Diceros bicornis minor: one gene and its partners. The protein of the gene in region 3 purifies or fractionates together with the protein of the main gene of each other region. This does not show direct contact. Links are inferred from orthologs where the notes say so. Each region holds a gene or a part of one and is shown on either strand. Other genes may lie near its edges.

The links.
Region 1: the proteins of MED8 (region 3) and MED9 purify together in Homo sapiens (affinity purification with mass spectrometry; 5 studies listed by BioGRID and IntAct, with this or other methods). This does not show direct contact. The link is inferred for Diceros bicornis minor from reciprocal best matches to the Homo sapiens genes MED8 and MED9.
Region 2: the proteins of MED8 (region 3) and CDK19 purify together in Homo sapiens (affinity purification with mass spectrometry; 6 studies listed by BioGRID and IntAct, counting the BioPlex papers as one, with this or other methods). This does not show direct contact. The link is inferred for Diceros bicornis minor from reciprocal best matches to the Homo sapiens genes MED8 and CDK19.
Region 4: the proteins of MED8 (region 3) and CDK8 purify together in Homo sapiens (affinity purification with mass spectrometry; 7 studies listed by BioGRID and IntAct, counting the BioPlex papers as one, with this or other methods). This does not show direct contact. The link is inferred for Diceros bicornis minor from reciprocal best matches to the Homo sapiens genes MED8 and CDK8.

What each region holds. Positions count from the first base shown.
Region 1 is NC_080757.1:945,384-953,442, forward strand, and holds the start of MED9 (mediator of RNA polymerase II transcription subunit 9), read left to right. Parts: upstream 1-4,925; 5' UTR 4,926-4,979; coding exon 4,980-5,206; intron 5,207-8,059.
Region 2 is NC_080762.1:24,558,146-24,565,435, forward strand, and holds the start of CDK19 (cyclin-dependent kinase 19), read left to right. Parts: upstream 1-4,096; 5' UTR 4,097-4,247; coding exon 4,248-4,375; intron 4,376-7,290.
Region 3 is NC_080752.1:6,335,530-6,343,097, reverse strand, and holds the start of MED8 (mediator of RNA polymerase II transcription subunit 8), read left to right. Parts: upstream 1-4,207; 5' UTR 4,208-4,261; coding exon 4,262-4,267; exon of another isoform or gene 4,268-4,331; intron 4,332-5,658; coding exon 5,659-5,777; intron 5,778-6,462; coding exon 6,463-6,607; intron 6,608-7,135; coding exon 7,136-7,276; intron 7,277-7,468; coding exon 7,469-7,550; intron 7,551-7,568. Other genes in the region: KICSTOR complex protein SZT2, read right to left, coding at 4,030-4,056. UniProt on the Homo sapiens protein: Component of the Mediator complex, a coactivator involved in the regulated transcription of nearly all RNA polymerase II-dependent genes.
Region 4 is NC_080748.1:9,635,846-9,643,588, forward strand, and holds the start of CDK8 (cyclin-dependent kinase 8), read left to right. Parts: upstream 1-4,556; 5' UTR 4,557-5,059; coding exon 5,060-5,187; intron 5,188-7,743.

The DNA of each region.
Region 1 (8,059 bases), on a different chromosome or scaffold from region 3:
CTTGACAGCTCTAGGGTCACACAGTTTGTTAGCTAAAGAATTGGCAGGAAATGTTCACAGCTCACAAAACCACATTTTTCAAGACATGTTGCCAGGAGAGGATGAAGGACAGCGGGATGGAGGCTGCTGTTCCCTCTCGATGCTGCTTCCATTTCTCAGCTTGGAACTTGCTGGCTTCTACAGTTTGGGATATTCTGAATGTCTGTAGTTACGGGCTATCTCCTCCTGTCCCAAAAGGTCTGGAAACCCAGCCACGGGCCTGAACCACGAAGACCAGCCACACAGCACTCATGGGCAGCGAAGGTCCTATCCTCTTCAGCATGCCAGTTGCATAATAATTTTTTTTGTGTGTGAGGAAGATCAGCTCTGAGCTAACATCCATGCTAATCCTCCTCTTTTTGCTGAGGAAGACCGGCTCTGAGCTAACATCTACTGCCAAGCCTCCTCCTTTTTTCCCCCAAAGCCCCAGTAGATAGCTGTATGCCATAGTTGTACATCCTTCTAGTTGCTGTATGTGGGACGTGGCCTCAGCATGGCCGGAGAAGCGGTGTGTCGGTGCGCGCCCGGGATCCCAACCCAGGCTGCCAGTAGCGGAGCACACACACTTAACCACTAAGCCACGGGGCCGGCCCAATAATTTTTAACTGCAATTTTGCAACTGGAGTTAGTAGTCAAGAGTCGAAAGACTTTCAATAAATCCAATAAAGAAAACAAGGCAACTTCTAGAGAAAGGGAGGACTGAAGAGTGAGAAAAAGCCAAAAGGCCATCATGAGAAAGAGGTTATTTTTTTAAAAAGGATTAACAGAAGGAGATAAGGATGAGGCTTTGGGGGAACAGCTGGTAGAAAGGAAAAAAAAACTTGGCTAACAAATAATTTGAGTGAAAATGACTGAGTAAAGAGATTGGAACAAATATGATATCACAACAAAAATGAACCATTTTAGTAAAAAACTAGTTCCTGGAATGGATTGCCTCTCATTTGTATCATATCAAAAGCGGGTGGAGGTCTGGCGAAACATAGTAAGCAGGAATAAGGACTAAAGGAGAGGACTTAAGGAGAAAATTCTGAGTCTGAAAGAAATGTGGTTGAATTTGTGTGCTGAAATACCCCATCAAGAGTGCTTCTGGAAATGAAACCACTGAAACAAGCGGGTTGAGAAATGGGCATAATGGAGTATCTTGGAGTAACGACAGAACAGTTGAAAGGAACAAAAAGAAATAAATTTAGTTGAGCTCAGAGAGAGAAGAAAAGCAATCTCAAGGCAGATCTGAAGCAAAGGCTTTGTTCTGAGGCGTAAGCATGCGTCTCGCTGGAGGGAGCTGACTCTTGGCACGTGCTGCGCTACGTTTGGCCTGAATAATGATTGCTCCCTATTTTTTTTTAACTCACAAAAATCAAAGTATCATGTAGCTTTTCCACCCTGCCCGAGGCTCCAGATGATCAAAGAAAAGGATGAATCATGTGTAAGGACATAGCTTTGACAAAGCCCCCGATGGTTCGATGACATGACCAGTTTAACAATCCCCGTGACACTTGTCTGACAGAGAGATGGCTATTTTTGCACCTATCTCCAAAATAGGAGCTATTTAAGCTCCTAAAGCTAAAGCTTAAATAGTGCTTACTCTCAAAGCTTTTTACAGACATGAATTCCTGGAACCCTTACAGCAGCCCTATCAGGAAAGGGCTGTTATGATTCCATTTTGCAGATGAGGAAACTGAGGCACAGGAAGGTTAAATGACTTGTCCAAGGTCACACAGCCAGAAACTAGCAGAACCTGGATTCTAATGTATCAAACTCCCACGTACCCACTTCTATATTTGGCAATTGTCCATATTTTTCCTTTTTGCTTTAAGTCCTCTCACAATATATAAAAGAAATATAACATTACACAGAGAGTTGCAGTGCTGGTTATATTCCCATCCCCTGTCCCAGGAATGTGTAGTAAACCTTTCAGTTCCTTTTAAAAACTTTTTTTATATATGTCTTATATCTATGGATGAGGTATAGTGTTATTTTTCATGCTTCAAATATTTACATAAGTAGTAACATACTCTATTTCTCTTGTGCAACTTGCTTTTTTCCTCTCACCATTTTGATTGTGAGTTTTGTCTACAGTGATATGTATTCATCTCTCAAACTGCACCATCCAGTTCTGTAGTCTCCAGCCACATGTGATGACTGAGCACTTGAAACGTGGCTATTCAAATTGAGATGTGCTGTAAATGTAAAGTACATACCAGATTTCAAAGACAGTATGAAAAACAGTAAAATACCTCTCTAATAATTTTTAATATTGATTACATGTTGAAATAATTTTGGGATATAATGGGTTAAGTAAAACATACTAAAATTAATTTCACTTGTTTTTTTTAATGTGGCTACTAGAAAATTGAAAATGACATATGTGGCTTGCATTTATGGATCATATTATATTTTATTGGAGAGCTCTGATTCTAGATCATTCCTGTTAACTGCCATCAGTCCGGGTTTTATTAATTGGTGAAGGAGCAAACCCTAAATCTGAATAACAAGAACTAATATTTACTGTGCACAGATACTTTTCTCCATGATTTGTATGCAATAATGCATTCGGTCCTCCTGGGAGGTTGCATGGCTATGCAAAGTGGGGTTGTGCAGTTGTCCAAAGTCACACAACTTCAAACAGACTGAGCTGGGACTCAAGTCAGGCAGGCAGGCTCCTTGGCCAGAACTTGTAACCACCAACTTGCCTGGAAAGGCTCTATGAGAAACAGCCTAACTCTGCCTAAGAAAGCAATAACCAGATAGCTTAACTTGGTGGCATCTCTAACAATATACCGTCCTTACATATCAGTGGACCCTTTTTGACTTTTAACAAAGCGGTTATGAACAGACACACATTTGTTGTGGCAATTTTAGCTTTAATGAAACCAACACAGGCCAGATATTATTTTTCTGACATCCGCTTGCAATGCTGTAGAGTCAGCTTTACGCTTTGCCACTAATTAGATTAACTATTTTTATGGCAAATTGTCAATGCACTCTACTTGTTCATGCTTCCTACGATTCCAATTTGTTTTTTTTAGCCATATCTATTTATACCTGGAGTGTTTTTTCTTTTTTTAAAAAGAGACGTCTTCATTATCCTGCTGATGATAAAGCTGGGGTTTGTAATTAAGTTACAAAACACACTGGGAGGGAAAAGAGGACGTGTCATTGCCATGGAGATATTATTGATGAATATCGGATTGCTTTTTGAATTCTGAATAAAAATCTAACTTTTACCATTTTGAATCATAAAGTTACAGAACTGGTTGGAACCTGAGGTCTCCTATGTGTTCGTTAGGACCAGAGGCTTGGTGTCAAGCAAGCCATGTGACCCAGAGCCAGTATCTTAACTGCTGTAAGCTTCAGTTTCCTCATCTATAAAAGAGAGATACTAACATCTACTTTTAGCCCTCTTTTGTAGATTAAATGAGATAAAGACTGTGACTCTATTCCTTGTCCCTATTTTTATTCCACCGTAGTTGTGGTAATCACTATTATTATTATTACTATTATACCATCATTTTTTTCCCCAGATGACTCCAAGGGTGTACTCTTTTCAAGCACATCTGTCCTATCCCAACAGGCCTTTCTCCTCCATTATCTAGCAGGACTCTTAAACATTTCCCTTAGGTGGAGAGGTCCATGGTGGGCAGGAAGAAAACCCTGCAGCCTTCTCCCTCCCCTTGCTCTCCTTCTGGAGTGCTCTGGGCAGCTCTTGCTGAAGAACGCTGCACTGAGGCCCATGACTAAAGGGCGTCTACAGCACACTCTCCAACATCTACTTCCCTCTATGGTCTTGCTCCCCTAGCACCTGCCTCCATAAACCCCTCCTGATGCATCCGAAAATACTAGCATTGATGCTTTCCTTGGGATAGGCCACGTTGCTCTTAAGTGCTACTGCTCATCTTGCTACCTGAATGTGTACTTCCTCGCCTCTGTTAAAGGCCCAGGATGGTAGACTAAGGAAGGATGGGGCTCTCCTAGCTCACATCTTCTTCCACTCATTAGCTAAGCTTAGGATCAGTGTCCCCACTGCTCAGAAATTTATTATACAGCCCCCATATCATACTTGTTTTGAGGAACATAACGACAAATCTACCAAAAGTAACCCGCTTTGGCCTAGGATCCTAGGGGGTCCTCATGTGAACTAGACCTTTGGAGGTCAGCCATGTATCTGAAGTTAGAAAGCAGATTAGGCTCTGCCATGACCCTGAACTAAAGATTATAGAGGCGAGGCGGCTGGGACCTAGGGGCTTAAGGAAGTCGCCCACAGGTATGGAGAGCAGCTCCAGGAGATGTATATTAAATACTGAATTACTAGTTCCTCCCTACCCAGCCCCGCGGAGCTTTGGGGGACGCCGTTTCTGGTGTCTGCGTCCTCAGGGCTGGCACGCGCTGTGGCACTACCGCCCGGCCAGGGTCTGCCGCCTCTCCCCCTGGAGGCTCCCGCGTGGTGCAGGCGCTGCAGGTCCTTCTCCGCATTCTCGACGCCCGCAGGGCCGGCGCCTTACACATAGCAGGCGCCCGGTGACGGCGGTCCACTCCGCGCGCGGTTCAAGTTGGTTCTTCGGGCGGCCTTCTCCCAGGGCTGGGCCGTGCTGGGCCTTATTCATCGCACGCTTCCTGTATTAGTTGCTTTTGGACCCTCGTCGTCACGTGAAAAGGAATAAGATGTTATTTCTGTAATAAATCTCCTGACTATTTAATAATTTAGCTCTCTCGACGCAACCAAACCCAGGACACCGCAGACTCGCCGACCTCCTGTTACCTAGTAACAGCCGCCCCGCCCCGTGCCTTTGCCCCGCGTACGCCCTGGTGCGCATGCTCACAGCCTTTCTCCGGTTCCCGTCCCCGCGGGCGCGCGGTAGTGACGTAGGGGCAGCGCGACGCTTTCGGCGGGCTCACCGCTCGGGTCTCGCTGGCTGTCTGAGTGACCGGTCCTGAGCGCCATGGCCTCCGCCGGGGTGGCCGCCGGGCGACAGGCTGAGGATGCGTTACCGCCGTCGGCCGAGCCGCCGCTGCCCGAGACGAAGTCGCTGCTGCCTCCGCAGGCACCGCCGCCGGTCGCCGCGCCTCAGCCGCAGCGGTCTCCGGCGCCGAGGCCTCAGTCCCCGGCGGGCGTGAAGGAGGAGGAGAACTTCTCCTTTCTGCCGTTGGTTCACAACATCATCAAATGGTAAGGGCTGGAGAGGACCAGCTCCACACGCCCTCCCGCTTCTCGTGCGGGCGCTCGCGGGTGCGCCCCCGTTTTATAGATGGGGAAACTGAGGCCGGGGGGCGAGGCCTCTCCCAGGACCGCACCGGCTCGGCCCGTGAGTCCGGCAAACGCTCTGAGCCCTGGCGTTGCCGGACCTCGCGACGGACGGCCTGGCGGTGTTCTCGGAGCCACAGCGCTGCCGTGCCGCCCGAGTGTGCGTCCTGCTGGTCACGAGCGGCTCGGGCGTCTGAGCCTCGGCTTCTCCGTGACGGGGGGGCGCCCGCTGGCTCCCCTTCTCGCAGAGCCGACGGTGCCTCGTGTGCCCCGCCCGACGCACTGCTGAGTGCTGGGGGCCTGCGGAGGAGGAGGGGCCGGCTGACCAGCCCTTCTCACGCGTCTCCTCGGCTGGAGGGAGAGGCAGACGCGAGCGGGAATGACCCGTAGTTCAGAAACGCCGGAGGGGGGAGGGTGGGAAACGTCGCAGACAGCGAGACACAGACGTCGCTCCACCAAATCGACCCCTGTAGTACTAACTGTGTTCTCACATAGTCTCAAAGGGGGGATTGTCATCCTTTTGACCAGCCTTCAGGTTAGTCTCAGTTTGCAAACTGACCCTGTGAAAGAAAAAAAAAAAAGAACACAGTGAAGAGTCTTGCTGATCCCCATGTTAGCCTGAATTGTTTTTACTGTTTTTTATATCCGCACGATACGAGGTGTAAACTCCTAGGCTCGTAACTCTTATTCAGCTGTTAAAAACCAAAACAAAGTAAATGAAAACGAAGATTACTGTTACGGCAACATTCAGGTGAACGTCACTGTGCTCTTGGGTGTTTTGCTAAGATGGAATTTCTGCTCACGACAGGGAAGTGGCGTTCATGGCCCAGCCTTTAAGTGTAGCCGGACTACTTCACTTGATGTGGGCTGACCCGATTCTTCCCCCACTTTTCAGACAACACAAAGCCTTTGTTCTGGCGTTAGACCCTGACTTCATGTGGCTTCACTCGGGGTGAGCATCCTGTTTATAGGGTCAGGCAGACTCCGGTCTGCTCTCATTAGCCTGTGCTCAGCAGGCAGCAGTTTGCAGCGGCAGTGAGATTGCAGACACAGTTGCGGACGCCGACCCTGCAGCCCCAGCGCAGTACTGGACTGGAAAGGGGCTGTCCAGATTAATGCAAATACTCTTACACCGGTTTTAAGAAAAATATGGAAGAATGAAAGCACAAAATGTACACATTCTCAAGGACGGTTCTTGGAGCCTGCAGAGTATGTTCTCGAGCCCCAGTAGAGCAGTTGAGCTGGGCTGGCCTTAAAGAAGGGGCAGCAAGGTACCCCTGAGAGAGCATGGCTTTGCAGTCAGTCTTGCATTCAAGGCTCATGCTGACGCTTGCTTGCCTTGTAGTCTGGGAGAACATGTAACCCTTCTAGGCCTTATTTTCTTATCTCTAATATGTGAATAATAATAACAGACCTCAAAACGATGGGTTCAGACTAGAGCCGTATAACGTACTGGCTGGGTGACCTTGGACAAACTACTTAGCTTCTCTGAGCCTCTTTTTCTCTTGTGAAATGGAACTAATAATACTTAAATGGTAAGGTTGTTGTGAGGTCTACTCAAGAGCATCCTCCTGTGAGAGATGGTGGGTTGATTTCATGTTTGTCTCAGTTTCCTCTAAAAGGACAGTGAAGAGGTTTTTTTTTTAAAGCATAGACCCAAAAAGAACAGGAGAGGAGATAATTGCCACAAAGCAGATGGCCAAGGGCTAACCCACCTATCAGCCCCTGGTTGGCAGAAGCACCTGCCTTTGACCGTGGCTTCCCCCCACGTCTCAGGAATTGGCGTTGCCAGGGACCTCTGGAAATAGGGGTGACGGGGGACTAAGAACAGGAGGATTACTTAAAAGTCTCCTTAAGCAGCAGATCCCCACAGTCCTCTCTCCTCACTTGAAGCAGACAGGTGACTGCTCTTCTTCCATCTTGGCAGGCAATTAAAGGGTTGCTCTTTCCCGAGATTTATTCTTTGGAAAGAATAAGCCAAAGATTATCTGGACTCGGGGGACACCAGGCACAGTGCAGGAGTTCAAGGGAGCCATGTTGGAAATAGGGAGTAAGAGAAAGTTCACACACTGGATATTGAGACCCCACTCTAGCCTTCTTCCCCTACCTGGCTTCTAGACTGGCAGCCAAAGAGAATAGATGTACCTTCTCTGGGGTGTCTGACCAGCCCAAGAGAAAAGTCATTGGGGGCTCCCCAAGAAAGACCACAGTCAGTTCATATGACCCGGTAGCCAGGGTCACTAAGCATGTGAAGAAAACCCCTAGTAAGAAAGACAGGACAAAACAAGAGCAGAAAAAGCCACTGGGAAGAAACAGTATGCATAGAGAGAAGGAGAGATGCTATCACCATGAAAAAAGGCTAGGATCCGATTTTAAAATATCATGTCTAGGTATGTGTTTGAGTTTATGGGCTAATGAGGGAAGGAGACAGACTGATGAGGGCAGTGATGAGAGAGGAGACCTCGTGAAACCTGGAGGAGTCAGAAGACTCCTTAAGGGGTGATGCCAACCACGAGTCTTAAATTATGAAAGGAGAGAGGGATGGTGGGGAGCCAAGAAATAGCATCAACTCATGGGGGTCGACTCTCAGTTTGGTGGGGTTGGAGCATAAATCCAAGGAAGGGAGAACTGGAAGGGTGGGAAGAACCAGCATAGGGAGGACAGCACATCCCTCTCAGGGAGTGAGGTTTTGTCCTCTGAGGGATGGGGAGCTAGGGAAACTTTCAAACTGGGGAGCCTTGGTCAGATTTGTGCTCGAGATGGATGTGGCATCTCAGC
Region 2 (7,290 bases), on a different chromosome or scaffold from region 3:
ATTAGACATGCAAGAGAATTATTGGAGGAAATGCCTATGAGGGAGCTGAAGGAGCTATCAGATCGTGATGCTGATCTGACCCCTGTGAAGGAGAGAGGGAAGGAAGGAGGGTTGGGTAGGCAGTGACTCAGACTACAACGTAGCTCTAAGAAAGGTTCAGACAGGCTTAAGCCTGGGGAGTCCTTCAGCCAAAGTCACCCAACACAGGAATCCTGCATCTTGCAGGAATGGACCTGCTGTAGCATCCTGCTATGCTCAGCCATAGGCTGGGAGCAGCCCATGGGGAGTGTGGCCTCATACCAAATGCAGTGGTAGATTCAGAGCTTAGCAGCTGGGGCCTCCCTGCAGGGAGGAGATCTGAGAAGCATATTTCACATTATTCAGCCTTCACATTATTTTTAGGGCTGCATAATAATCCATTGATAGATGTGCCATAATTTATTTGTCCAGTCCCCTTCTAATGAACATTTCTGTTGTTTCCAGGCCTTTCCTATTAGAAACAATGCTCAGTGAATCACCTTGAATTATTCCATCTTGCACACATGGGGAATATCACAAATTGGGCTCCTGGGGAAGCAGACCCTGAGATGGAGATTAACATGTAATCAGTTTATTACAGAGTGTTTCTGAGATCAATACCTCTGGAAGAGAAAGGAAGAAAGAAGGGTGGGGGAGATTGAAAAGTTGGTCTGTAATGCATTCTCAGTGACGGCCTCAGTCAACCCCATAGGGAGTTCTGAAGACAGGATGACCCATCAGAGTTGTCCTGAAGTGGGGTAAGAGGTCTGGGCCTTTATATCCCTGCATTGATCAGTCATTGGATGTAGGTTGCTCTAGGAAAATGGCATGACCTAGGTGAGGTGGCTCTTCAGTCAAGGAAGTTCCTGAAGAGGGCTGACAGCTGCAGGCTGTCTGGAGCAGCATTCTCAGCAGCTTGAGGGAATACATCCTTTAGTCCCGAAGAGGGGTCTGGGAGGCACATCACAGCATCCACCACAAGGAGTAGAATTGTAGGATACTACTATGTAATTTTGATAGATGTTTCAAGGATCAAAATCTAATGTATATATTGGTATATATTTTGTGAATATATACTTCCACTGACAATGTAAAAGAGTGTCTGTTTCCCCCTATCCTTGGTAACACAAGGTGTGGTCAAACTTTTTGATTTGTTCACTTAAGATTTTCATAATCTATATTTGATTTTTACTAACACATTTTCCCACTTTCCATTTACTCCCAAGTACATATTCATTAAGCCCTGGCTCTGCAATTTACTAGCTGTTTCAGTTCGTTCATATGTAAAATGGGAAGAATAATACAACATACCTTATAGGGATATTTTGAGGATACAATGAATGCAAAACTCCTTATTTAAAAATAGCAACACACCAAAAAATATTCTCCACATCCCACCGTCATACATTGATGATTTCCAAATCTATACATTTAGGCCACATGTCTTATTGGTAGGTAAAAATATTCATCTGCATTCTTGTTATTTCTATCTTGATGCCCCATAGCACTTCACATTCAACGTGCCCCAGTCACACTCATCATCTTTCTCTTAAAAATTGCTCCTATTCCTTTATTTCAAAACCTCGAAGTCATCTTGGATTATTTTCTTTCCCTTAATCTTACATTTATTTAATTATCAGGTCCTGTTGAGTTTGTTTCATAAATAATTCTGGTATCTACCTTTTCCTCATAATCAGCATTGCTACTCCATGGTTCAGATCCTTGTGTTTTACAAGTATTAACGCAATAGCTTCTTTACTATTCTCACTGACCTCCAATCTACCCCAAACACTGTTGTCAGAAGGATTTTTTGAATACACAACACTGATTACATTACTCCTTAGCTCAAAAGTCTTTAATGGTTTCCTACTGCCTACAGAATGATGCAGTCTACAACTTCTGCTTGGCATATATAGCTTATCATAATTTGACTTCTGTTCCCGTCTCTTCTTAGCCATCACCTCTCCCTGCCTTGACCTATAATATTTAAGCTAGTTGTATTTCTCAGAATATGTTCTCTCATGATGTATGTACATGCCATTCTGCCTGAAATAATTCCCTGCTCCCCACTTCCCCACTTGTCCTCCAAATGAGGTTCTTTAAATTGGCTCAAATCTACTTCCTTTGTGAAGCCTACCCTGACTCCTCTAGAAGTCCTCCTATCCTACCATTGACTTTTTGTACCCATACAGTTTATTTTTGATTTGCTCGCATGTTTATTTCTTCAATAAGTTTTAGTTCCTCGATGGAAAAAAAAAATTTTTCATTTGATATCTCCAGCACTTATCATAGTGCCTTGAAATAACAGAAACTCAGATACTTCTGGATTGACTTCAAGATCTGAAGACGTTTCCCGGGAAACTTACTGTCATAGTAAACAAAAGATCCTCTCCCCTCCTCCTTCTAGTTTTCCAGGTTTCTTCCAAAACTTAGCAAGCAGGTAGGTCACTATTAACTTTCGTTACCACTTCAGGTAGAATCGACCATTCCCTCGTTGTCCTCCCACTCAGTGTGGTATAAAAGCCCTATCCTAGCACCAATCCTGTTTAAGATTGTATCCCAAGCACCTGACTTTATGCGTGTAATAATGAAATGAATCAATGTTCGCCTTGATTAAGGAGACTCGCTTAAACATTCTAGGAGAACGTCACCATTATGCATAGACCGTAAAAAACCCTTTACAATTCAACTCAAATGATTGTTTTTAAAATGCTGCATTCTCCAGGCGCTTTAATTGTCCTTAGACAGATGGTCAAAGCTTGGCTATGGGAACCGCAGATGCTAGCAGGACACTACGTCTAGAGTGCCAAGAAAAGGATGATTGGCAGCTAGGGCTCAAAAGTTACATATTCTGGGGCTGGCCCGGTGCCGCAAGTCGTTAAGTTCGCGCGCTCCGCTGCAGCGGCCCAGGGTTCACAGGTTCAGATCCCGGGCGTGCACTGACGCACCACTTGTTAAGCCATGCTGTGGTGGCGTCCCATATAAAGTGGAGGAAGATGGGCACAGATGTTAGCTCAGGGCCAGTCTTCCTCAAGGAAAAAAAAAAGGGGAGGATTGGCATCAGATGTTAGCTCAGGGCTAGTCCTCCTCACACACACACACACACACACACACAAAAATACACTTTACAGAATATTGTTGGCCAGGAACAATATGAAGATGCCATACCAAATATGCACAAACAGAAATATTGATTCCCTATAGAAGCACATTTAATAAATTAATTAAAAAAAAGTTACATATTCTCAGACCGATGCTGGAACTAGGAAACCGCTGGAAGTTCAGTTTTTGAAATACGGTTTTGGTAAAGAAAAAAGATTAACCTATCAGGAAGAAGCAAGCGCAAGCAATTACCAATCAAGAGCGGGAAAGAAGCCAAACCCTGGGGATACCCACGCACCAACGAGAACGTCATTCTCCAGTCTCCGCCAATGAGCGGTTGGACGGGGGGGCGGGGCAACAGGCGGACCAATTGCCACAAAAAACAAACAACAATCTGCAGTACAACTGTCCTAACCACAGTCCTCGCCTCTCAAACCACTGGAGCAAACTGGTGGGCTGGGCGGTTGTTAAATACTTTCCACCCTCCTCCTCGCTCAGGGGTACGGTGCAGTAGTTCCCGCACACCAGAACAAGAGCCGTTTTTCCACCAGCTCCCACAGACTCGCAGAAAGCACACTGCAACTTTGCGCTATCTACCTTCACAGGAACTGGCAGTGCGGCGCTACCTGAGGGGGAGGGGCGGCCCTAGTGCGCAGGCGTGCATGCCTTGTGGAGGCGAGGCTGTAGCGGCCCAAGGCAACCTGGGTGTTGTATTTCTTTCGCGGGTAAAACTCGGCTGCTGTTGAGGTCTGCGGAACTACATTTCCCAGGAGCTTCTGCGACCTCGGGGCGGGCGGGCTGGTTCGTTAATGAGCTCGAGGAAGCCGCGGCGCGGCCCACCAGGTTCCAAAACAAGGAAATGAAGGGGGGAGGCGGGACTGGGGGTGCCTGCGGGAGCCGCCGCCGCCGCCGCCGCCGCCGCGGAGGAGGAGGAGGAGGTGGAGGAGGTGGTTGCTGCTGCCGCCGAGGAGTCCCTTGCTGAAGGCGGACCGCGGGGAGGCGGGCGGCGCGCGCGCGCCCGAGAGGCGGCTGTTGGAGAAGTGGAGCGGCGGTCGCGGGGGGAGGAGGAGGAGGGACTGAGCGGCGGCGGCCCCCGCGTCCCGGTGCCTCTATGGGGGAAGCAGACAATGGATTATGATTTCAAGGCGAAGCTGGCGGCGGAGCGGGAGCGGGTGGAGGATTTGTTTGAGTACGAAGGGTGCAAAGTGGGACGCGGCACCTACGGGCACGTCTACAAGGCGAGGCGGAAAGATGGGTAAGAGCAGGGGCGGGGGGAGTAGGCTCGCTCGGGTCCTCGCCCTGCCCGCGACCGCGCGGGATGGGTGGGTCGGAGCCCGGTCGGGCCGTGCTGGAGGGGCGAAGCGGAGGTGGTCGCGGGGCCGCGTCCCGGGGCGGACTCTGAGGGACTCGGGTTCTGCCCGCCCTCCGCGCGGCCCCGTCGCGCCCCTCGGGCTCCCGCGGCGCAGCCCAGTTGGGGGGCGTCGGTCCGTCCCGGAGGGCGCCCTCCGCGTGCGCGGAGCTGGCGGCGGGACTGGAGTTGGGACCTCGGTGGGAGGTGGAGTTTGCGGGGTCTGGTCTCCTGGGGAGACGCGGAGGGCTGGGAGAGCTCCGCCGAGGAGTTGCCGCTCCGGCCCTGAGCTGGTGACGGTCGTTGTGCAACTTCCAATCGGCGGAGCGCCTCCCGGGGCGGCGGTTTGAAACCTCGCCGAGGAGCCCGTCGGGCGGCCGCGCGCCGGGGTCCTAGCCAGCCTCACGGGTCTGATCCTCTGGGCACCTCCGCCCTTGGGGCCGGCCAGCCACTGGCCCCTCGGTGCAGTCCCTTCTGTCCCTGTCGCATGCCCGGCGACTGCTGGACCCCTGCTCCCCCGCCCCGGATTTCGCTTGTTCACATTCTGAATTCCACACCTTCCCCCGAATGTAGGACCTCCTGCGAGACTAACCGCGTTTTGCCCGCAGAACTTCGGAATCCGCCTAGTTCTCTGGCAACTCATTTCCCCCACCTTGGGTGTTCTTATGTCCTCTGCATCTGCTGCCAAATAACTGCGTGCTGGGGTTCCTCGGGCACCTAGATTATCCAGAACGGAATGCGGAGTGACACAGAGCTGGGCCTGAACCTTTGTTTTCCTGAGAGTCGAGGGAGACCCGTAGGAACCCCTTAGAAAGCCCTTACTGATTGTTCTCTCTGGAGGAGGCGAGCTGGGTACTGTACTGAGAACGCCTGTCCTTCGTCCTGGAGGGCAGACGGGCTCCACTGCAGGACAGGTGGAACCAGCTCCCGGCCTGCGAAGAGTAGGTTTAAACCAGCGGTCACCTCGCTGTCCATCCTGGCAGGAATTTCCCTCCCCCAGAGTTAGGGAGCCCAGGAACATCTGCCTGTCCCGCTTAGACTCTCAAGACGGCGAAACTATGTGGAAGAGAGTTTTTATGATCGTAGCGGAACATTTCCAAATAAACTGAATATCAGCCACAATGACATTAGTAAGATTTGCAGTGTTGCTTATCGTTCTGTGCACTCTGTTGTAATTGATACGGTTGATTTATGAACTCCAGGACCAAAGTAGGTAGGGGGTTGTGTGCGTGCGTGCTAATTTCATACAGGAAACGAAAAAGCACAACTGTAAATTGTTTTATCATAAAGTATCGTGAAAATTAGAAGGTATTATACAAGTGTAAAGGATTGTTATTATTGCAAATAATTTTTTTCTTGTTATAACTCAGCGGGCCCCATAGTATTCATTTGTTTCTAAACTTTTCTCATAATTCTTTGAGTTAATTGCCAGGAGTCCTTGCATGAGTATCTTGGAATGTGAGGTACTGTAATTAACTTGTATTTTGTTTTTGGAATATCCACTCTGCTTGTTACACTTGTATTCTTGTGGGAATCTTATCAGATATATTTGGGGAAAGCACATCTAGTTTTCCTATTTGGACATTGGCCTTACAAATCATACGTGGTGTTTTTTCATGATCCTCATGCTAACTTTGTAATATACTTGACCTGGAATTTTAAAAATGTATTTAAATATTTTTGTTGTTAAAATAGCTTCCTTTTAGCAGGCAACTTTTGAGAAAAAGTTAAAAATTCTGCTTCTGAATTGTATTTGAATAGTATGGGCTACAACAAAAACCAGATACTTTAATTCCTGCTTCTATTTGTTCTTTTGGAATATTTCCCCTTCTAATAAAGTTCTTGATTCGAATACACTTCCTTCTTGAGTGAAATTTGTTTGATTAGAATTAATAGAGCTTCTTTAGTAGAGTAAGATCAGTTTGTGTATCTTCAAAATAATATGTTTTTTAAAAAACCTTTTAGGATCTGAAAGCATTCGTTTAAATCACTATATTACATGTAAGGAAAATCATTATGAAGCTTTTTTTCTTGGGCCAAGGGTCTAGTTGAGATTTGAGGCTTTACCATAAACACCCATCTCTTGTGGGTTGGTAGTGGGATTAGTTTTATGTTCACTGATACCAGCCATTTGAAAGAACAAAAAGTTTTTAGTGATGGTTCTAAACTGTGATACAGATTTGCATAGTAAAGGATTTTACACTCTGATCGTGGTAAATTACAGTTTAGCTCGTTCCAGAATTTATTTTGGTTAACTCAGAAAAACGTATAATGCTATTTTAGGGAGCAAGAGAGAAATCACGTGGATATGTTAAAGAGAAGTCATTCTGGTGTATGTAATGTAGTATATAAGCAAAAAATTGTTCAGGTGTTTAGAATGCTGGAAGAAGTAACATAAAACATTAGAAAAGTCTGCTTATAATTTAGTACTACAGTTTACAAAACCTTAGAATGTTATTTCCCTTGAAATATGACTTTAACTTAGGCTATATTAATTATGCTACATAAATTTATAACAGACTGGAAATGCAAGATTTACATCTGGGTTTTTCACCTTTAATAAAAATATTATTTGTTCCATCTTTTTGTTTTGAAGGAAGGGAGTCTTTTGACTCTACTATATGTTTTAAAAAAATCAGGCTTAAAAGTCATTGAAAAGAAAACAAGTTCATGATATTTGTAGGCTTTTTAGTATGAGCAATAATTTGTAATACAGTTTTTCTTTCAACATTAGTAAAAAGTCACACACAACAGTTTATGGTTACAAATCTCAAGACCATATTTCTCAAGTTTCAAACCCTTTTTGTTTTGATTGATAAAGG
Region 3 (7,568 bases):
TCTTATAGAATCCACTTTCTTGAAGCCAGGAGCATTTGCCTAACTCGAGCTTTCTTGCAACATCCCCTTATACACGATCCTTCCAATTCAACAACTACATTTTCAAAACACCATCTCTAAGTTTTCTTCACATTCAAGATGTAATTTATCAGAATCAGACGACTTAAGAATTAATTTAAACAGCTAGAATGGTATTTTTCAAAGTGGGACCCCAGGACCAACTACATCGGAATTACCTAAGGTGCTTATTAAAATGCAGATTCCTGGGCACCATCCCAGACCAATTAGAGTTGATGGGGCTTAGGAATCTACATTTAACAAGCTCCCCAAGTGATTCTTCTACTTTAATGTTTGAGAATTCCCGAATTAGTTGTGTTCTCACAGCATCCACACACATGAAGCTTCAATTCTCCCACATTTAATCCCCCTGAGTCTGAGGTGCATTGGAGCAGTCTGGCAAAGAGAAAGCAGGGTTTTGGAGTCACAGACTTGGATTCAAATCTGCTTCTACTACTTGCTATCTAGGTGAGCTTGGACAAGTTACTTAATTCTTCCAGGCCTCAGTTTCTTCATTGATATCATGTGGATAAGAATATCTACTTCATAAGGATGTGGTTGCAATTAAACAAGGGAGTCAGAACTATGAGAGAAAAAGCTTATCATTCTTGGGAACATTTATTGAGGCCTACATACCATTTATAACAACATGAATAAAACATCATCAGGCACTGTGCTGCATACCATGTATACCAGGATGAAGGAAATCACCCATCTCATTAATTTGTTGTTTTTTGCACCTGTCCCTTTATGGTTAAGGTACAAATTATTTTTGAGCCTTTTTCAACCCTTGTGCTGAGTCCCATGAAATAACGTAGATTTTTCTTCCCCCTTGAATTGTCTGAAGATTCCTTACCTCTGTATTTATGCCAAAGTCCTGAACCTCTAGCATGGGCTCAACCAGAATCTTCTTCTCCAGCCTCATCTCTCACCCAACTCCCCCTGAGTTAGAGCGCCTAGGATCAAATGCTGGTTCTGCTGCTTATCAATATAAGGCCTTGGTGAAGTTACTTAAACTCTCTGTGCCTTCGCTTCCTCCTCTGTGAAACAGGGATAAACAGCGCCTACTTCGTGAGGATTTTACGAGTATTAGACGATATCTAGTAAGTACTGTGTTAGCTATTCTCATGTCACACAGCACCCACACAATCAGCTGCTTCCTCTCGGTTCTCTGAAGGCTCTAAGCTCCTTCTCACCTCAGGATTTTCACTATTGCCTTTGCCTGTAATGTGCTCTGCCTCTTCTCATTCTTCAGGCTTAAATGTCATTCCTCTGAGGCGGCTTCCTGATCCCCCTCACCCAACCACTTCTTTTTTTTTTTTTTTTTTTTTTTTGTGAGGAGATCAGCCCTGAGCTAACATCCGCCAATCCTCCTCTTTTTTTGCTGAGGAAGACGGCCCTGGGCCAACATCCGTGCCCATCTTCCTCCACTTTATATGGGACGCCGCCACAGCATGGCTTACCAAGCGGTGCGTCGGTGCGCGCCCGGGATCCAAACTAGCGAACCCCGGGCCGCCGCAGCGGAGCGCGCGCACCCAACCGCTTGCGCCACCGGGCCGGCCCCCCCAACCACTTCTTAACGAAATAGGTTAAGAACCCTTGTTAAACACTCACTCACTCTGTATTTTTCCTTTGCAGCACTTATTATCATAATTCAATGTTTACTCCATTACAATAGGGAACATGTCTGTCTTACACTGCTCTGTATCCACCCTGATACTTAGCACAATTCCAAGTCCATAGTAGCACTCATAAAATATGTTAAGTATTTGATGAATGAATGATTTCTTAAATCTGACTATGCTCTATCTCTCTCTCGGGATTGTAAAAAACCTCTAAAAATCAGTCACTTTTTGCCCAGGGGCAGAACTCTTCACTCCCTTTACCTTCTGAGATAAAATTTTCAGAAATGCAAATCCAGAACTTAACAAATGTTTAATTTTTGGCTGAATACTCCCAGGAGTATGTGTCTTGACTCCAAGCTACTTTAGATCCGCACTGTTCAATACGGTAGCTGCTACCATACGGGGCTACTGACCACTTGAAATGTTGCTAGTCCAAACGAGATGTGTTGTAAGTGTAAAATACACACTGGATTTTAAAGACTTGGTACCAAAAAAGAATGTTAAATACCACATAATTTTTTATATTTATTACATGTTGAAATGATAACATTTTGGAAATACATAAAATACATTAAAATTAATTTCACCTGTTTCTTTTTACCTTTTTTAAATGTGGCTACCAGAAAATTTATTTTTACAGCTTGCATTAGATTTCTATTGGAAATTTAGACTATCTGCCTAAAAGGTATGTTGTATTTCCCCACAACATCCCTCTGTTTCCTCTCATTTTAATTCATAATGAAACATACTCCAAATTCTTTCACGGAGTTCTCAATATTGATATTTCTGATGCATGAGCTATTTCACTACCCTGTGAACAAGTCTGATTCCTTTAAATACGGCAGTTTCCTACAGCCATATTCAATCCCGGGTCTCATCACACCAAATCCTAATGGACTGGAGATTTACCATCCTGTGGCTAGTTTTTTATTTATACTATAAACATTATGGTTAAGAACACAAGATCTGGAGCAGACCACCTGTTTTGGAGTCCTAGCTCTACTACTTATTAGCTGTGTAACTTGTTACTCTTAACATTTTTTTTTTTTGTGAGGAAGATCAGCCCTGAGCTAACATCCGATGCCAATCCTCCTCTTTTTCGCTGAGGAAGGTTGGCCCTGAGCTAACATCCACGCCTATCTTCCTCTACTTTACGTGGGACGCCCCTACAGCATGGCTTGACAAGCAGTGCACCGGTGGTGCTGGGGATCTGAACCTGTGAGAACCCCGGGACACCGAAGCGGGGCACGTGCACTCAACTGCTTGCGCCACCGGGCCGGCCCCAAGTTACTCTTAACATCTCTGTGCCTCCGTTTCCTCAACTGAAAAATGGGGATGACAATAGTGTCTACTTCACAGGGTTGAGAGCATTAGTTGATATTGGTCAAGTGCTTAGAAGGTGCCCGGCATGGGATAGCGTTAAGTAACGACTACTATTTGTGTCGTTATACACATCCTCATCCTTCCCATCTACTTAAACATTCTTTTATAATACTGGGCACCTTTCCTAGTGAGTCATTCTTTCCAAATCTAAGATGTTATGCTCGGATCTTCTAACTCCAAAACTCGGCTACTCTCCAACTGAGTAGCACTTGGGTAAGGTACTTAACCTCTCTCACTTTTCAGTTTTATCTGTAAATGAGAGTGGATATTGCCACCTTCCTTGCACAAGTTTGAATAACACAATGTAGTATACAAAGCTCCTTGCATGGTCCTTAGCGCTTTACAGATACCTCCTATGCATTTTCTGGTTTAATACATGTGATCCTCACAACACACCATAACGTAGGTATTTTACGAAGAAGGGAACAGGATCGGGGAAGTCAAGACTTGCCCGAAGTCGCACAGATTGCTAAACGGCAGCACCAATACTGGATCAAGGTTTCACTCCCAGTCAAACGTCTTTTCACGACACCAAAGCTGCTTTCCAAAAGCATGAGCGCTAGAACTAAATTAATTCATGCTATTTATGGAATTCCAGTGTGAAGAAATGCAGAAAACGGCAAAGTCAGTCTAATGCCGTGCTGCCCACTGAAACTGCAACAGAAAGTCAAAACACAGGTTTTGTTAATACCATTATCAGGTCAAAGAATCCGAGAGCCCTCAAATCAGCGACGTGGATAAAATTTCAGTAAACAAAACAAAGCGACGAAGTTTCTCTAGCCCCTGAGGACAGTGCGGACTGCGGGGAGGAGGTTCAACGGTCCGGCCTTCGGGGCTGGGCCGGTCCAGGGCCCGGCTACGCGGCCCGGCCTCACCCAGACCCAGAGGAGGTCAGGGCCGCGCTGGCCGCCTGATCCTCCCCCTCGGATCTCGGGGCCCAGCGCTGCGCCCGCCCGCCTCTCACCTCCGGCTCCGGGCGCTCCGAGGCCATCGCACAGCCCTCCCGCGCCGGCCGGGGCCAGAAAAGACGTTCCACTCGTGACCCCTGACCCGGCTACCGCGCTCCCGACCGGAACCAGAAATGAGTGCGAGGGCCGACTTCTGAGTTTTCTGATTGGTGGACGACGCCCTCTCCGAGTGGCTGGCTGACTTGGAAACCGGAAGAGGAAGTCGCCGCCGCCGCCACTGCCGCCGCAATGCAGGTGAGCCTGGTGGGGGCTCTTGACCGCTATCTGGCTTCGGATAACCGGACCGAGAGTGGGCTGGCTGAGGAGAGAGTGAGGAGTTGGGGCTGAGAGGAGGGAGCAGAGCCCGCAGCTGATGGATGAGGGAACGCGGGATGCGGGGCGACGCCGACTGGAGAGGGAGAGACGCGGATGAGAGATGGGGTGGAGCCCGGCTGACAGGAGACAGAGATGCGGCGAGGTTGGGAGGGAGGAGGCAGTACTGACTTGCTGCAGTGTGGGAAAGGATCAGGTTGTAATTTGGGAAGGTTGAGATGCAATCCAAGGCAGACGGCTCGGGGAACTGATGGGCTGGCTCAGGCCCCGGCCTAGGCTGTTGGATGGACGCTGTTGGATGCAGACATAACAGGGCATCTGTAATTGGAGGGAAGCCCGAAGGGTGAAAGAATTGTGGGACCGCGGTGGCCGAAAGCTAAGGTAATTATAATCTGAGGCCGTGGGCGGAACCAAGGATCAAGGCTCCTGTTCTACACGTTGGCGAGTTTGCAAGACGGTTTTGCATCATTCTTCCCAACCTGTGCCTGATAGTTGTTAAGGATGAGGAAATGAAGTAAAACTGGAGACCATAAACGGGAAGGAAATGCGTCGCAGACCCCCCCCCAGCATTTAAAATTGTTTGTCTAGTGTTTAGGACCATGTGCATTTTTTTGTCTTTCATTTGTCACTTAGTTTCTTGCAGCTGGTAGTGGTGCAAGAAACCAGTCTTAGTTTCTTGCACTGGTAGTCTGTCAGTAAACGACTATAGGTTGACAAAGCTTGTGAGAGGGGCACAGGAATATTGGCACAGAGATAAAATGAGTGCAGATTAATTCAGCAAGGAGGAGGTTGAAACATCAGATGCTGAGGGCAAATGAAGAGGGGGGAGGTGGTGGTGCAAGGCCGGTATTCAGAGAAACCTTCATGTGTAGGCAGATTTCCCAGAGATTGTGTCATTGGCAAGAACAGCCAGGTTCACAAGGCAAGTTCTAGAACAGAGGAAGCTGGAGTACATATGCTGCAGAGATATGCAAAAGATAATAAATCCAAGGCATTAGGTCTCGTGAAAATTTCTCAGTGAGAGACACTAGTACCTAATACAGAGAAAAACCAGGCATGGATTAGGAGATGATGCAAGAAAGGAATCAGTTGGCAGGAGGAATTGATGTCATGTGAATGGGTTTAAAGGTCTAAGGGTTGATGCTGTCTATAACCCAAATACCAAAGATAGACAAAAACCTGTCTCTTCTATGCCAACAAGATCCTGTGTTACTTGACTGGTGTTGCACACTGTCATCCTGGCATTTCAGCCTTCCTCTGTGTGTGTCATACTCACACCCGTCTGGGTAACCAACCTATTCCTATTGGTGCAGAGGGAGGAGAAGCAGCTTGAAGCATCGTTAGATGCACTGCTGAGCCAAGTGGCTGATCTGAAGAACTCACTGGGAGGTTTCATTTACAAGTTGGAGAACGAGTATGACCGGCTGACCTGGTAAGGGTTGCCAGAGCAAGCTGGGGAGGGCTCCATGAGTGGGGAGCCAGGACTCTTGGTGGATAGGACATCTCCAGTGATGTAACCATTTATCAGTTAGCAACTATTTTTTTGTTTGGAAAGAACTGGGTTTCCCAACATATAACAAGTGGAGTTTGGCTTAGGGCCTCCACTGCAAGGAAGTAGAGAGGTGCCCAGTTTGCCAACCCAGGTTCTTTCTAGCTTTTGATTCTCACCCTTTGACTTTTCTAGGAGGAGGTCCTCCCTCAGTGTATCCTCCCACTATAGTAGGAATACAGTATTCGTATTGGATTTCTTGGCATAGATGGTGCTGAGTCTTTTAGGTCCACCTACTCGGAGAGTGTGGATCCTATTTCCAGGCTAGAAAGGAGGCTTTTACCCAGTTTCTGAATTTTTAGTGATAACAGTGTAGCCATGGTTCCTATTTTGCCACTGTTCCTCACCCCATTCAAATAATGACCTGCCTTTTTTCTCCATCTATGTCAGAAACTGAAGTGTGTCCCTCTTTCCTAACCACGTAATCCCTGTGAGCCAGTCTGGTTCCTGCCCAGCCCAGCCACAGGGCTATGAATCTTTTTGGGGTGAGTCTGGGTATTCCTAGTCTGAAGGACCCCTTTTAGGCTGCTTTACTGGGAACATTCTGACACCCTCTTACCACCACCAGGCCCTCTGTCCTGGACAGCTTTGCCTTGCTCTCTGGACAGTTGAACACTCTGAACAAGGTCTTGAAGCATGAAAAGACACCACTCTTCCGTAACCAGGTCATCATCCCTCTGGTGTTGTCCCCAGACCGAGATGAAGATCTCATGGTAAGAGGAGGAGAAGGGTACAACTTGGGGAATTAAGTTCTTAGATGAGGACTCAGAGCACAGTTGTTGGTTGGTTATTCTAGAAGTTCTGAATGTGGAGTAGTGTGTGACAATAAGAAGCAAGGGCTGCATTTTGGAGGCCTTGCTTTTTGTCCTTCTGGAGTTGGGGGAGCCACTCCCAAATAGTGGTGAATTAACCTGAGGCCTGTGTCACCAAGGCAAAGACCTTTCTCCTCCAACCCCTATCTCTAGCAAAAAGTATGTTCCTTTGTGACTTTGTCTATTTCACTCTTAGATTAAAATGTGGTAGAGAGAGTTTGCCCCCAGGTCTGGTAGAGACAGAGGTGTGAGGAGACAGAAATAAAGGATGGAGTGAGGAGAATAGTGTCCTAGGAAGCTAGATATTATAAGTCTCAGGTTGTGTTTTCCCTGAAAATGCAGTGTTTGCCTGTGGAAGAAACTATATAGCAGGCCAGATTGAATCTTCTTGGAGTGCATAGTAGGATCAATAAAATCTGTGTGTTACAGCGGCAGACTGAAGGACGAGTGCCTGTCTTCAGCCATGAGGTGGTTCCTGACCACCTGAGAACCAAGCCTGACCCTGAGGTTGAAGAGCAAGAGAAGCAACTGACAACAGATGCTGCCCGCATCGGTGCTGATGCAGCTCAGGTTGGACTGAGTCACTGCCCTGCTGCCCCCTACCCGCAAGTCCCATCATGAGAAGCTAGGCATTACCATTCCTGTCTGGTAGGGATGCACAGTTGGTTATACCTAAGTTGCCCCTGGAAGAGCACAAGGAATAAACTTCCCCGTGATCATTTTTTGTTTGCCCTAATCTCTGCACAAATTTATGTGTTACAGAAGCAGATCCAGAGCTTGAATAAAATGTGCTCAAACCTTCTGGAGAAAATCAGCAAAGAGGAACGAGAATCAGAGAGTGGAGGTATGCAGGGATTGGCGG
Region 4 (7,743 bases), on a different chromosome or scaffold from region 3:
CTAAACTTGTTCTTCTCGAAGTCTTCCTCATCTCAGTAAGTGGTAACATCCTCAAGAGTTATCTTGAGTCCTTCCTTTCCATCCAACTGATCAGCAAGTCCCATCTCTCTCTTTCTCGCTCTCTCTCTCTCTCTGTCTCTCAATCTTCTCCTACAATCCATTCTTAACACAACACCCAGGATATTCTTTTTAAAGCATAAATCACATCTGGTCACTCCCTCCTTACAACCTTCCAGTGGCCTTCTATTGCCCTAAAAATAAAATCCAAGCCCCTTAGTATGGTCTAAAAGACCCTATATAATCTGGTCCCTGCCTACCTCTTTGTCTTCATCCCACACAACTTCCTCCTTTACTCATGACAGTTCTATCACCCAAGCCTTCTCTCTGCTCCTTGGTTCCTGGCTTAAGGCCTTTCCACTTGCTGTCCATCTGATCGACCTGGACCACTCTGCTGCCTCACCTTAGCAGGTTTTGCTCCTCATTATTTACATCTCAGCTTAAGCATAATCACCTCAGAGTCCTTGGCCATCCACCCAATCTAAAGTAATCCCCTCTTGGTCCCACTTTCCATCGCATTGCCCTGTTTTATTTCCTTCTTAGTTCTTAGAGCTTTCTCCTTTCTCCTGCGGGCTCCCTACCCTCATCTTCCACATCTCTCTGAATGAAGCAGCTCTCATATTTTTATATGACCCTGCCCCCGTGGCCACACTTCATTGGCCCAGGATGGGCCCCTGACTCAGCTGGACTAGAGCCCTTCCTGGGATTTTTAGCACTGAACTTGAGAAACAGAGTCAATTCTTCTCTAATGACAGGTGTTGCTTGACATAAAATTCAGCAACTATTAGTGGTCTTGTTTCTAGTTGTGTGGAGGAAACGAGTCTATAAGCACAAATGAGATTCACATGATGAAGTAGAGAAAAGAAAGTTATTTTTGAAAGTGTTTTTTGGTTCTGGTTGTTTTTAAGTTCTAAATTGTATTCTGCATGCTTATAGAGTTAGTTGGGAAACTTTTTGCATCAATATTTGTTTTGAACAATTAAAAAAGGCTGGAGTGTTATTGACCTAACTTGCTCTTTCTTGTGTCTAACATTGTACTCGAATGCAGTTGCTTAATATGTGCTTTCTGATGATAAAGATGATGAATATTCCACCTGCTGAATGGGAGGTTAGATACTTTCTGTTTAAAGCATGCTTTGATACTACGAAAAATGAATTAAAAGTTGTAGAGACAGGAAGTGATCAGCTCTGAGAAGACCCACATGGGCTTTTCCATTAGTATATCACGAAGCACTAAATGCTTTTGCACGCTGTAAAAAGTACATTTCAGAGGCAAGACTGAGGCAAGATGTTAAATGTTTTAAAATGACTGCACCACCCCCCCTTTATTAGTATTAAGGTCCATTTCAATCTTTATAGAAATCGATCCAATTAAACATTCTAATTATAATTATGCAAACTATGTGCTGGGCACTGTAGGAGATACAGAGATAAGTCAGAGACTCAGTTATTAAAGGACATATTTTTTTCAAGTGCATAAAATAAATGACTGAAATACAAGGTAGCTCCTGTGTAAGAGGCCCTAGTGGCTATCTCTTTCTTAGCTCCCCATCCTGACGCTGTGTTAAGGGGCCAGCTTACCTTACACCACCATATTCCCCCAACCTGGAGTTCAGACTCCTAACTCTCACCCTAGCTTCAGAGAGAAAAGCAGGCTTTTCTCTTCCCCAAAGGCCAGCTTCCTTTCCTGCCCCAGGATTACTGACAGTAAGAACACTGTTAATTAGCTTGACTATAATAATCATTTCACCATGTATATGTGTATCAAAGCATCATGTTGTACATCTTAAGTATATGCAATCTTTATTTAAAAAAAAAAGGAACACTCAAGTTCTTCAGGGAGAATTCTTACCGGCATCCACAAAATGAATTCAGTCAAAACAGTAGTCAAAAGTACATTTTAAGAAGTTTGGGACCTTCAGTGTTCGGGAATATCATATGCAGGTGGTGCAGGAGATGGGGGTGGGGACACCCCCAGTGCAGGGCTAAGCCCAGTTCCAGGCTTCTTCACAAGCTTTCCTCCAGTGTGGTGGTTTCATTTCTCAAGATCTATGAGTAAATACTTGGAGAAAAGACATATCCCTCATGGGGCCAGCCTGGTGGCATAGTGGTTAAGTTCACATGCTCTGCTTTGGTGGCCTGGGTTCACGAGTTTGGATCCCGGGCATGGACCTAGGTACTGCTGGTCAGGTCATGCTATGGTGGCGTCCCACATATAAAATAGGGGAAGATGGGTACAGATATTAGCTCAGGGCTAATCTTCCTCAGCAAAAAGAGGAGGATTGAGGGGCTGGCCCGTGGCGTAGCGGTTAAGTGTGTGCGCTCCTCTGCTGGCGGCCCAGGGTTCGGATCCCGGGTGCGCACCGATACACTGCTTGTCAGGCCATGCTGTGGTGACGTCCCACATAAAGTGGAGGAAGATGGGCACGGATGTTAGCCCAGGGCCAGTCTTCCTCAGCAGAAAAAAAAAAAAAAGAGGAGGATTGGCAGTGGATGTTAGCTCAGAGCCAGTGTTCCTCACAAAAAAAAAAAAAAAAAAAAGACATCCCTCAAGAAACACAAAATATTTTTTCCAGGAAGAGTCTATTCTAAATCCATATTTAGGAAAAAATTTAATTCTTTAACCAAGCAAAGGAACTGTTCTGCTAGAGAATCACCCAATTTACATCATTGAATAGAACCACATCACATCCCCTTGATGAAAGCTTGCCTTTGTTGTGCACTTACTCTAAGCTGGGGCCTTTTATATCTCCATTTTGTATAGAAAGAAACTGAGGGTCCAAGGACACACTGCTAATAAATGGCAAAGCAGGATTTGAACCCAGGCCCACCTAACCAGTCAGTGTACTAACCGCTAAATAATATTTAATGTACTAGGTACAAACAACTTCATTTAAACCAGTGGTGAAGTCACTATTTTCTCCAAGGAAACTTATATAAGAAAAGAGTCCTTTCAAGGATGTTTCATAAAATGGTATCATCATCATCATCATCTATACATGGATATTTTTATTTTTTGCTGAGGAAGATTAGTCCTGAGCTAACATCGGTTGCCAATTTTTCTCATGTTTTGCTTGAGGAAGGTTAGCACTGAGCTAACATCTGTGCCAGTTTTCCTCTACTTTACATGTGGGTCACAGCCACAAGGAGTGGGGTAGGTCGGCGCCTGGGAGCCGAGCCTGCCAACTGAACTGCTGAACTGGAATGCGCCAAACTTAACCACTACGCCATGGGGCCAGCCCCCGCACATGGATATTTTTGACATAAACATGCTTACTTATTAATTCAACAATTGTTTACTGTGCACCACAATTAAGGCAAGATACTAGGTGTTACGAAAGATGCAAATATGACTTCCTATAGGAATTTATAATCTAGCAAGGGAGAGGAAATAAAAGACAAAACACAATTTGATAAACACTGCAGGAAAGGTGAAAAAGAAGTGGTATGGGAGTTTAAAAGTGGAAGAGATTATATGTCCTTTTGGGAGTGGGGAGCCTTAGTGGAAACGGCAGCAATGGGGAAATGTAAAATAAATACAAATATAAAATCGAAAAACAAAAAATAGATATGTAAATAAGAGAGATAAGACAAAATGAGGGATTATTATCAAGATATCTGGATCCCTCCAGCTGACACCTTTCCTACTTTAAAATTATTAACAAATTAGCTTCCATGGATTTAGAGGCATTGCTGTAATCATGGCTAAAAACTGCTGGTCTTACAGGCAGTGGTGCCTGTACTCAAAATAATGTCCCCTCTGAATGGATGGGAAGATTTCGGATGGTCATCTGTCACAAGAGTAACACTATTTAGCAGGAGCGTGGACACTCGTCATTGATTCCTTTTTATAGATGTTTGTAATGTGCGTCAGTAAGATGATATTATTGTGCAGCCCTGATCGGACTGTGAACAAGAACACTGTACCAACCGATAGTCTGTGAGCTGTTTACAAATTCATAGACTTTTTTTGCATAATGATAATACCCTTTAAAATCTGGAGTTCGGCAGTGGCACAAAATGGGATTCTAATACAAACTAGCCTTCCTCACACGTGAATTTCTTTGGTTAAGGTTATGGTCCAAATCAGACTCTAGCGATATCGCTGTAAAAAAATAATTTTTCCCCTAAGTGATTGAAACTAATCTCACCTTGGACTACTAATCCCATTATGCAACGCTCCCCATATCACCACTGGGAGGGGTGGAGTCTAGAAGGGGCGGCAGCAGCGGAGGCCGGTGCATTCTGGGCATTGTAGTCTGGGGCTCTGGCCACCGTCGGGACGGTCCACGTGGTGCGTTTGGCGGCAGCTTCGGGCACTAGGTATCTGGCTCTCTCCACACGGTCCTCTGGGTGCCGGCGCCGGCGAGGGCGGACAGCTACCGCGGAACGGGCTGGAGGGAGTGCCGGAGGCAGCCTGAGCCTTCGCGACGTTTTTGCGACAGCCGCGGCCGTGTTCCGCGACTCCCCTCCCTCCTGGTCTCTCTGAGGAGGTACCGGCTGTTGTGCCGCACTGCCTTTCTGTTTGAGTGTATGGGAGAGTGAGAGAGTGAGTGAGTGTGAGCGTGTGTGTGTGAGAGAGGGTGAGGCGTGAGTGCGAGCGTGAGAGGAGCAGAGCCCGCCGTGGCCGCCCCGCCGCTCCTCGCAGCGGGAGCACAACGCGCGGCAGGAGGGAGCAGGAGAGCCGGCGCCCCGGGAGCCCGCGGGGACAAGGGCAGAGACACCCGCTCCCCACCCCCAGCCCTCGTCCCTCCGCTCTCCTTCGCCCGGGGGAACCTCCCCTTCCTCCCCCCGGCCGGCCTCTGCCCCGCTGCCCCCCTGGATGTCCCCGGCGCTCTCGCGGGGCCTCCTCCTGCGCTTGCCGCATCAGTCGGGTTGGTGCTGCGGCCGCCGGGTGTAGAGCGGGCGGGTTCCCGGGGGCTGCGGCTGCCGTTGCGTCCACGGTCCCCATCCCGGCCCCCCGACCCCCCGACCCAGCTCCCCGGCCTCGGAGGCTGTGACAATGGACTATGACTTTAAAGTGAAGCTGAGCAGCGAGCGGGAGCGGGTCGAGGACCTGTTTGAATACGAGGGCTGCAAAGTTGGCCGAGGCACTTATGGTCACGTCTACAAAGCCAAGAGGAAGGATGGGTGAGTGTTTGTGTCTGTGCCGGTGTCCGCGCTGGGCGGCGCTCCCGCAGGCTGAGGCAGGTAGCCCGGAGGGAGAGCGGGGCGCCGGAGTGCCGGTCACCCACTTCCTCGACACCCGCGTCTGTGCCCGCCTGGCAGGTTTGGGGAGGAAGTGTACGAGGGATCCAAACCCGCACGAAACCCTGCGTGCTGCTGTCTCTGTTCTACTTTGGTGGCTCATAGGGAAAAGGAGCCTCTACCTTACGGGCTGTATACTTTTCAAGGGTTTCGGTACTAGATGTTTTTAAAAATTCGTTATAAAACGTCAGTTTAGATGATTTTGGGGGGTCAATTTATTATGGTAACATGGGGATTTCCTCAGCCCTCTCTGGAGTGACATCCATCAGTCTGGAAGGGAAGCTGTGATCCTTTCCGTCACCAGTTTGTGATTGATTTATTACCAAATTTGGATTTTACTTGGGGGAAAGAAAGCAGCAAGTAAATGTGGTTCTGAAGAGTTCCTCGTAGTGATCGTCTGCAATATGAGTGTAGCGATTGCTGTTTAGATATCATTAGCTGTGAGTTTTACATAGAACAATGGGGCTTTGGTGCAGGGTGGGTGGTGGGGAAAAAGGCGAGTGACAAATAGGGGTTATCTTGTTCAGGCTGTTCCCCCGAAATTTAGCAGCTGGCAGTGAACTCTAAATAGTCTCTTTGCTTTAGATATTCTTCCCTAGAAATAACTTGATTAAGTCTGTGGCTGGTAATGCTCCCAGTTTAGTTTCTTAAACGGGCAAGTGAAGTGTTCATTTTTCCTTTGTCAGTAGATGAGTGTCTTGTAATATTGACAAAAGAGGAGGCAATTCTTAGTTGAGGAGAAAATATATTTAATTAACTCCTTGTTTTCCTCTTGTGAAAAACGGGTGTTGCCTCTGTTGTCTTTGACACTATAGAAAATTGCTGGAAAGATGATGTCAAAGGTTATTATGTAATCTTTAGATTTTATTATAAACAAAGTAGCTTTACTTGAACATCACTGTTAGTTTGGTTAGCTGCTGTTTAACGTTTAAAATAATTGCTTATGTTTTCCAGTTATGTAGGAGTGTATGTTGAGAACTATATTAGCATTAAAGAGATGAAACCATTCATAAAGCTGTAGTAAGTTACTTGGCGGGGGAAGCCATATTTATAAATACTTTAGTTTTCTGGATATTGGGAAAGGAAGTGTATATTTAGTCAACGTTTTTCTTAGATTTACTGAGATACTTTTCTAAAATAACTTAAAATGGGCTCCAAGAGGGAGATGGTAATTCTAATTAATTTGGAATGTGCATTTCATTGCTTATATGCAGCAGTAAAGCAGTACAGCTATCTGCAAAAGGTAGGGATTTGAAAACTTGATACCCTGGGTGTTGCGTGTATTTAAAAGTACTTTTTAGTGGAATAGATTGTCTGGTGACATTTGAGAAATCAGCGTCTGGAAATACTGTTGACTCTGTTGTTTAATTATATTTGTCGTGAAGTATTACTCTGTAATAACATATATATTTAAAAATTATCCTTGACTTCCCATACAATATTTTTCAAAAGCCTTAAACCATCTTCCCATCCCCCAATATTATGTAATTTTGGGCATATTCATAAAATCCCCACGTCCATGAGGTGAGACATTGTAGTACATTTGACCAGTCTGTTGTCTGTTTTATAAAATTCTGGTGACTTTAAATTATTTTTAATCTTTCTAAGAGAAGCCAGTTCTGTTTTCATAAATTACCAATTTAAGCTAATAAATATGCAAATTTTATTAACTTTGATTTTATATTTTATTTAAAAGCTATAATGTTGTATAAAAGCTATAATATTGTATATTGGCAAGTGGTACTTTTAACTACATTATATACCTCATGGTCAGGTCTTAATTTAGGCTAAGAATAATTTTACAAGAATTATGCAATTTAAAAATAACTAAATGTATAGTATGGGAACATTTCTTAGTCATCTGTGATAGCCGAAAAGTAGCATTGCATTTTGGAAAAAAATAGTTTTTTATTTGTAATTCTTGGGACTTGTTTTCCAGCAACCTTTAATGATTTTGTTTATAGGATGAACTTTTTTTAAAATGGATCAAATGTCAGGAGAGTTTTAAAATTACTTAAAACAGTTTTTATTTTCCAGAGGGAATATTTTTCGGTTTGGCTTCTTTCTTATAACCTTGCTCTGGTAAAAGATAGCATTGTATTTATGAGGTTCTTTTGATCTTATGTCAGTGAAATGTAATTGAATGCATTTTAGTCCTGGTAAAATAAAATTTGTGGGTGTTTAATCTTTTATAAAAAGATGATGATCAAATAATTTGTTTCTAGTATTGATTTACTTTCAAATTAAGTTATATATTCTGCGGCTGAAATTTCGGGGTACTCTAGGAAGCCAGACAGTAACACCTTCCAACAGGATCCTGAGATTTACAGTAACATGAAATAAGTTTTGTTTAGACATATTTGTTAAAATGAATGTATGTAAATGTTTTATCCTCTCAGTTGTCCAGCAAGCGTCATAGAACATGAATAATTAGTAAAA